Linked DNA regions of Rattus norvegicus. The protein of the gene in region 1 purifies or fractionates together with the protein of each later gene. This does not show direct contact. Links are inferred from orthologs where the notes say so. Each region holds a gene or a part of one and is shown in the gene's direction. Other genes may lie near its edges. The genes, in order: Haus5 and Haus2.

The links.
Region 2: the proteins of Haus5 (region 1) and Haus2 purify together in Homo sapiens (affinity purification with mass spectrometry; 5 studies listed by BioGRID and IntAct, with this or other methods). This does not show direct contact. The link is inferred for Rattus norvegicus from reciprocal best matches to the Homo sapiens genes HAUS5 and HAUS2.

Annotation. Positions count from the first base shown.
Region 1 is NC_086019.1:95,040,579-95,044,389, reverse strand, and holds part of Haus5 (HAUS augmin-like complex subunit 5), read left to right. Parts: coding exon 1-69; intron 70-700; coding exon 701-781; intron 782-847; coding exon 848-993; intron 994-1,284; coding exon 1,285-1,396; intron 1,397-1,478; coding exon 1,479-1,608; intron 1,609-2,651; coding exon of another isoform or gene 2,652-2,743; exon of another isoform or gene 2,744-3,199; intron 3,200-3,205; exon of another isoform or gene 3,206-3,306; intron 3,307-3,811.
Region 2 is NC_086021.1:128,005,523-128,009,838, forward strand, and holds the start of Haus2 (HAUS augmin-like complex subunit 2), read left to right. Parts: upstream 1-1,371; 5' UTR 1,372-1,426; coding exon 1,427-1,519; intron 1,520-4,316. Other genes in the region: Lrrc57 (leucine-rich repeat-containing protein 57), read right to left, coding at 1-23, 649-787, 894-999, 1,256-1,359.

The DNA of each region.
Region 1 (3,811 bases):
CACCGGCAGCTTCTGCTGCGAGAGCTGCAGGCCAAGAGGCAGAGGATCCTACAGTGGCGGCAGCTGGTGGTGAGATCCTGGGCCTGGTAGACGGTTAGAGTAGGGGTGTGGGGTCTAGAGACCAAGCTCTGGGTCTCCCAGGGCTATGAGAGATGGCTCAGCATTAAGAGGACTGGCTACACTGGGTCATGGTAGCCTATGCCTTTAACCCCAGTGCTCCGGAGTCAGAGGCACGATGATGTCTAGGAGTTCAAGGACAGCCTGGTCTATAGAGCTACTTCTAGGACAGAGATAGACACACAGAGAAACCCTGTCTTGACAAAAGGACTAGTTGTCCTTCCAGAGAACCTGGGTTCAGGTCCTAGCATTTACATAGCAGCTCACAGCTGGCAGTTCAGTTCCCGGGATCTGATGGCCTCCTTGGCCTCTGTGAGCAGGCGGCATACATGCAGTGCCTAGATATCCTTACAGGCAGCACAGCCATGCCATAAACTAAGAATAAATAAACCTCAAAAATATTGAAGAGATATGGAGGGGAGGGATGAAGGAACAAATTAACCTGACCTCTGAGGAAGGGAGCCGGGGGGTGGGGGGTTCCCAGGAAGAAGCAGGACCTGTCCCCTGTAAGAAGGGGTGGATTGCCTGCCCTGGGCAGTGGGAAGAACGGGGAGCTAGTGTCGGTGGCTTTCTGACTCCCCAGGAGGAGAGACAGGAACAGATCCGTCTGCTCATCAAGGGAAACTCAGCTAGCAAGACTCGCCTGAGCCGGGGTCCAGAGGAGGTAAGGTGAATGTTGGGCGAGGCATGGTGGGCTCTGGCTACCCCACCTACCATCTCCATCCCACAGGTGCTAGCCCTGATTCGGCAGAAGCTTGTTCCCACCTCTGAGGCTGTGGCACCACAGAGCCAAGAACTGCTTCGATGCTTGAAGGAAGAAGCCAAACACCTGCCCCACATTATCCTGGGCCCCCTACCACCATACCAAGTCAAAGGGTGAGGTGGGGCCAGCCCTGTCTTCCCTCTGAAACCTAGTCAAGTAGCTCCAAGGTGCGGTCCAGTGAGAGGAGAGCCCCAATCTAGAAAATAAAGGTGACCAAGAAGACATCTGCTGTCTACCTTGGGTCTCTGCACACATACACACCTGCACATGCACACAAAAGTAGCCCAGGGTCCCCAGACTTGCCAAACCTTACCCCATATCATCTAAGTCCCTAAGCCTACCTCCAAGTCCATGAGCTTCTGTAAATCAAACCACCTGATGTTCTGTTGCTGCCCTTCCCACAGGTTGAAGCCGCTATCCAGGATTCTACCATCTATCCATCAGCTGCACCCCACTACCCCAAGGGGCTCCAGCCTCCTATTGCTGAGTCACACACTGGGACTGCCTGTAGGGAAAGTAGGTGTCCATGACCTGTGACCTTTTTGCCCATCCCAGTCCCAACCCTGTGGCCAAGTTGACCGTCCTTCCCTACTCCCAGGCACCCGAACTACTGCTTCCAAGGGCGGCCTCTCTCCGACAAGATCTTCTGTTTCTCCAAGACCAGTGGGGTCTCCGAGGAGGAAATCTCAGTGTGAAGACCAGTCTGCCTCCGGGACCATCCACCCAGGGTATGTTGGCTCTGCCTGCTTTTTCAGATCCAGCATTCCTTCCGGTCTGCGCCAGCACGGAAGTGTTAAAGACCCCAGTATTGCAGTGTGCTGGAAGCATGCTTGCTTCAGCTGCACAGCAACCCCCACCCCCCCAGTTGCAGAGCAGGGAACTCAGGTGTACAAGGCTTAGTAGCCTGACTTCACGGTACAGTTGGTTGGTTTGATTTTTTTTTTTTTTTTTTTTTTTTTTTTTTGTCTTTTGGTGTGTATCTCACTGTGTAGTCCAGACTGTCTTCAAACTTCAGATCCTCATGCCTCTGCCTCCCAAGGTGTGCACCCTGCCCCCCTGCTTCCCCAGCCCAGGCAAGAGCTTGGCTATGAACATGGGTCCCATCCCAATCCCAACCCCATGGTTAGATGTGGATCGAACTATAAGGCTATACAGTCTATCCATTTGCCAACTACTCACTCATTGCCTTCAGAATACCTTGTTTTGCTTTAGTGTGTGTGCATGTGTGTGCCACACCATGTTTGTGAAGGTCAGAGGACAACTTGTTGGAGCCTGGTCTCTCCTCCCATCATGTGGGTCCCAAGGCTCAGACTCAGGTAGTTAGGCTTGGCAGCAAGCATTCTTATCTGCTGGACCATCTTGATGGCCCAGTGTTCTTTTGTTGTTTGTCTTTTGTTGTTCTGTTGTTTATTGAGACAGGGTCTGGTGAAGCAGCCTAAGCTGGCCTCAGACAAGCAATTCGTTCCCTCAGCTTCCCAAATGCTGGTGTTCTCACCTCACACCATTACCCCAGCCTAATGGTTATCTTGAACTCTTTTTGTTTGGTTGGTTGGTTTGGTTTGTGTTTTCTGTGTAGCCCTAGCTGTCCTGCAACTCTGTAGACCAAGTTGGCCTCGAACTCACAGAGATCTGACAGAATTAAAGCTGTGAGCCACCACTACCTGCCTATGCATCTGTAACAGCTCCTGGATTCCTCTCTTCTAAAGAATAATTTTGTTCCCTTTCTTCTTGTCTTCTCTCCTCTCCAAATGATCCCTAACCCCCATGTCAGCTCATCCAAATTCGGGGTTCTGGGCTAGCATATCTGTTCCTGCCACACTAACCCATGACTCAGAGACTTCCAGAGACGGCAGGCCTAGATAAAGAGCATGTAAGAGTCATGGTGGAGGTTGCAGACAAGGCACTCAGTGACGGCGGCGCTCTGCATTCGGGTTCAGTGGGTCTGTTCTGGTGCAGTGGGGACAAGGCCCAGTCACCATTTGGGGGGAAATGGTGCAAGAGTGGAAGTTGGAAGTGGGGTGAAAAGGCCCTGGGAAAGATGGTGAGTTGAAGATAGAGCCCAGGGAATAGAGTGCTTGCCTAGTTTGCATACAGTCCTGGCCTTCATAACCAGGACTGCATAAAACTAGGTGTGGTGGTTGGGAATAGTGGCGTACACCTTTAGTCCCAGTACCGTGGAGGCATAGGCATGTATGAGTGTGAGTGTAAGATCAGTGAGGTCTACATAGTAAGTTCCAAGCCAGCAAGGCCTACAGTGTGAGACCTGTCTCCAAGGGAAGGTGGCTAGAGAGATGGCTCAGTGGTCAAGAGCACCTGTTCTTGCAGAGGCCCTGGTTCAGTCCCCAGCACCCACGTGGCCGCTCACAACCATCTGTAACTCCAGCTCCAGGGGACCTGCTGCTGTCTTCTGGTTTCTTGGGCACCAGGCACACATGTGCTGCATACACATACATGAAGACAAAACCTAATAAACCTAAAATACACAAACACATGCATGCACACACTTGCAGATCCAGTACTTGGGAAGTAAAGGCTTGGCATCATCCTTCTATAGCAAGTTTGAGGCTAGACTGTACTAGATTAGACCTTGCCTCAAAAGAAAAAAATAAAGGCCATACGCCTTTAATCCCAGTATTCAGGAGTTAGAGGCAGAAAGGTGTCTATAAGTGTGAGGCCAGCCTGGTCCACATATGGAGTTCTAGGACAGCCAGGGCTACATAGAGACCTTTTCTCAAAAGAGAAAGAAAAACCAAAAAGCATGGTGTCTCACGTAAGCTCTGGCGTTTCCCCCAGAAGGGAGCAGAAACCACAGAGTGCAAACTGTCTGAGGAATCTGGACTCAGAGGAGTTGGGGTGCACTGGGGAACCTGAGGAGCAGGCTTCTGAGCAAGAGAGGGAGAAGTTTCTGGCTAACATGGAGGGTGGAAGACT
Region 2 (4,316 bases), on another chromosome or scaffold:
GCATAATTCATCAGGTAGAACAGCTGGTGAAGAAAATTAAAGAAAAAAACTAAATGTTAGAACTAATGAAATTTATAAAAAGACAGCATGGTAACTGCCCCATCTTGGTTTTGTTTCTAATTTTGAGACAGGGTCTCACTAAGTTGTCTAGGGTAGCCTTGGAATTATCTTTCTGCTTCAGCCTCTGAGTGGCTGGGGTTACAGGCCTGACTTCTTACATAGAATCCTCACATGTCATGTCTAGGTTTCACCTTTTACAAACGGTGTTTGGGACTTAAGAAGCCATCAAAATGCAGAAAAGTGTGTACGTATATAATGGATTCTTTTTGTAAAGGGGCTTAAGTGTATTCTAAAAACAATCTGGGGAAGGTTAAAAGATTCATTCCACCCTGCCACCCAAATTAGATAACTGTTTACATCGTGTTTACATCGATTCCCAAAGGTCTTCCTAGTCCAAATTAACCTAGTAATAATGATTACACTACCCAAGGAGGCTTTTAGATTTAATTACAAGAGATAAAAGCTTCAATACTCTAACATTCTGCATCCCCTAAACTGATTTCATAACAAAAATCATCTAACAGGGAAAACACCCTTCAGTAAAACTGCCGATTACTAGCCAAAGCTGCCCAGGCACAAAATCCATACTCAGTTTGTTGTTGTTGAGAGAGAGACTCTTTAGCAGAGTGAACTTTCCTATTATCAGAGGTGGTAGGCTGTCGATCTTGTTGTTGGACAAATCGATGGTCCTAAGATTGCTTGTCAGCTTCTGCAACTCTGAGGGGAACTGGAGAAAGGAGCTCACAGTGTGGAAAAATCCTGCACCAATAGACTTCGCCACCCCGCCATCCCTCTCCCTTTTAGTTTCTAGGTCCGGTCCCCTCAGGTCTCACCTCGGTCAGACCACGGTCTTTAAGCTGAAAGACACCAGTTTTCTGCGCTGTTTCCACATGAGCACGGAGGGCACTGTTTCCCATCCTAGCACCACGGCTCAGTTCCCTGCAGGAAAGAAGCATAGCTGTCACCGCCCAGTCTAGACATACAGCCATCGCTAAACCTCTCGTTTAGGTCTCCTGTCCCAGTTGTCACCTTCTGCCTATCCCTACTTCCCAGGGGCCAGCCCAAGAGTAACAAGGGGAAAGCAAGCGAGCAGATAGTGCTACCACAAGATCCTGCTGCGTTGGCACCTGAGTTAAGGGCCAGGGAGCCTCCGATAGCTGCTGCCGGAACAGGGAGCTCAAGACTCGCCTCCTACCGCTCAGTGCAGAGAAGACTCCACCAGGGAACACCCGGGACCCGCGCTCGCCTGAGACGCGCTCCCAGGGCTTCCGCCCGGGTAGGAACGCCCTGTGACATCATCAAACCGCGCGCACGTTCGCTGTGTGCCCCTCACTCCTCGCGCCAGTTCCAGAGGTGCGTTGGAGCCATGGCTGCCGCCAACCCGTGGGACCCAGCGTCCGCGCCGAGTGCAGCTGGGTTACTGCTGAACCACTTGGTGGCTTCAGGGATAGTCACTGAGGTACGTGGGGGGCGGCGACGGCGTCATCAAGGTGGCGACAGAATTCAGCTGTGAGGTGGTGGTCCTGGTTACCCGGGCGTGAGTGAGCCAGTTGAGGATTGTGTTGAGTACTTAGTAGCGTCCCTTGGAGACTGCAGCCGTGACCATACTCCCGTGGGCTCTTCGAGTGTGAGGGACAGAGTGCTGGTGTTCCGAGCACTCTGTTTTGAGTGCCTGCAGGTTATCCCAGGCCGGTTTGTCGGAGATGGACCAGCATTCCGCTTTTTTTTTTTCTTTTCAGTGATACTACTTCCTCTAGAAGAGTGTTTCTCAACCTTCCTAAGGATACGATCCTTTAATACAGTTCATGTTGTGATGACCCCCAACCATAATATCATTTCCGTTGGTTGCTGCTTCATAACTGTGATCTTGCAACTGTTAGGAATATTAATGTAAACATCTGTGTTTCCCGGTGGTCTTTAGGCGACCCGTGTCTGTTAAAGGGTTGTTTGACCCCCACCAAGAGTTGAGAGTCACTCAGTTGAGAACCACCGCTCTAAATTGTAGAGTGGGGACAGTGAGAAAGAAATAGTGGCAGGTATCTTTAAAAACATTTCCAACAACGCCTGTTAATGGGAATTATTAAAATATATCTGGGGCCCTGTGTACAGAAGAACTCTAGCGGAGACTCTTTAGGACAGCATCTATTAAAAGTGTGTGTTTGTCTCTGTGTGTCTGGGTATGCCCTTGCACTGTGAAGATTTTGAGACAAGAATAAAGAGTAGCCCAAGAAGTGACTGTTTTGACAAGCAGGTAGACAGAAGGGAGAAATCGAATATCTGAAGGAATAACTGAAAGGAATGAGGGAGTGAGAAATCAAGCACATTATGATTGAAGGAAGGAAACTGATACAAAAAGGAAGTTGAGGAAAGTTAGTTAATTCGTCTGTAGAAATTAGCAGTGCTAGTAATGGAAGATTTTTTAATTGTTTATTTTTATTTTATGTACATTGATGTTTTGCCTGTTTGTATATCTGTGTAAAGGTGTCAGGTCCACTGGAATGGGAGTTACAGACCGTTGTGAGCTGCTTTGTGGTTGCTGGGAATTAAACCCAGACCCTCTGGAAGAGCAAATCAGTGCTTTCAACCACTGAGCCATCTCTCCAGCCCCTTGGTTTCATTGTTTTTTGGTTTTAATGTCTGAAAGAGGTAATAGAGACTTCACACATGTCCTAAAGTGTTTAAGAAACCTAAATAGCCAGATGTGGTGACACAAGACTTGGGAACACTTGGGAGCTGGAAGCAGAAAGATTGCTCAGAGTTCAAGGCTAGCCTAGGATAGAGGGAGGAGACCATGTCTCCATTAAACAAATAAGAAGCACCTAAAGAGACTAAGAAATCAGTATCACTCAGCAAGCTGGCAGAATTAGATCCTATAACTCTCTCCCTTTTGCTCTATCATCTTTTAAAATGAGTTAACAGCCAGACAGGGTGGTACACAGCTGTAATCCCAGGGCTAGTGAGTTACAGACCATCTAGGGCCACATAGCAAGACTCAGTCTCTAAATAAATAGTGCTAAAATAATAAGGGTGAATGTGATAGCATTGTGCTGTGAAAGATTTTGGACTTTGTTTAAGACCCAGCATTACTTTGAGTGTGTGAATTGGCCCTGGCTAATTGGTTTCCCAGGAGCTGGCACAGTACTCTTCAGTTAATCCTTTCTCACTCCTCTCTGTTTTCTTTCTACCACATTGCAGAGTATTCTCACCTTGCATCGTGCCATTCTCTTGTCATAAAACTACTGGATTATTTCATAAGTAACACATTTGAGACTCAATGTCCTTCTTGAAAGTGTTGACAGAGAATACAAGTTTCTGAACTATAGAAAGGTAGATAACCTCAGGCACTGTACAGTGGTGGTTTTATGGTTATCTTCCACATTAGCCAGTTTCTTGTTTTTTAGGTTTTTTTTTTTTTTAAGATTATTTATTTATTTTATGTGAGTACATTGTTGCTGTCTTCAGACACACCAGAAGAGGGCATTGGATCCCATTACAGATGGTTGTGTGTAGTCCTGGCTGTTCTGGAACTCACTCTATAGATCAAGCTTTGAACTCAGAGATCCACCTGCCTCTGCCTTCTGAGTGCTGGGATTGAAGACATGTACAATCATGCCCTGCTAAACCCTTAAATGAAAAAAGTAAATGGGTTGAGGATATAGCTCAGTTGATAGAGTGCTTGCCTAGCACACACAAAGCCCTTGGTTTGATCCAAAGCACCATATAAAACAGGTACTGGGACTCAGGAGGTGATTTAATCAATAAATCGCCTATCAAATAATCACAAAGGGCTGAATTTAGATCCCTCACACCCAGGTAAAAGCAGAATGTGAAGGTAAATGTCCTAGAGCTAGGAGCCAGAGATAGGAGGAGCTAGCTAGTCAGTCTAACCCCGTCTAGTCTGTATATTACCAGTGTGTCAGGGTCTGGGCTAGAAATATTTAGGTTCTTGGCCTCTTGTCTAAAGAATGGAAAATAAATTTATTCTGAGGGAAGGAATAACACAGAATATAGAGAGATACAGCGTCAAGATTGAAAACAGGCCACTACAGGGGCCCCAGGTTACAGCCTGAGCTCTAAAGAGCCTGAGCACTATATGTTGTTTACATATAGATATCTTTATTTGAATATTTTATGTATGAATGTTTTGCCTGCATGTATGTATGTGTACTATGCCTGGTACCCATGGAGGTCAGAAGAAAGCACTGGGTCCCTTGGAACTGGAGTGAACCACAGAGTGGTTGCTGGTAATTAAACCT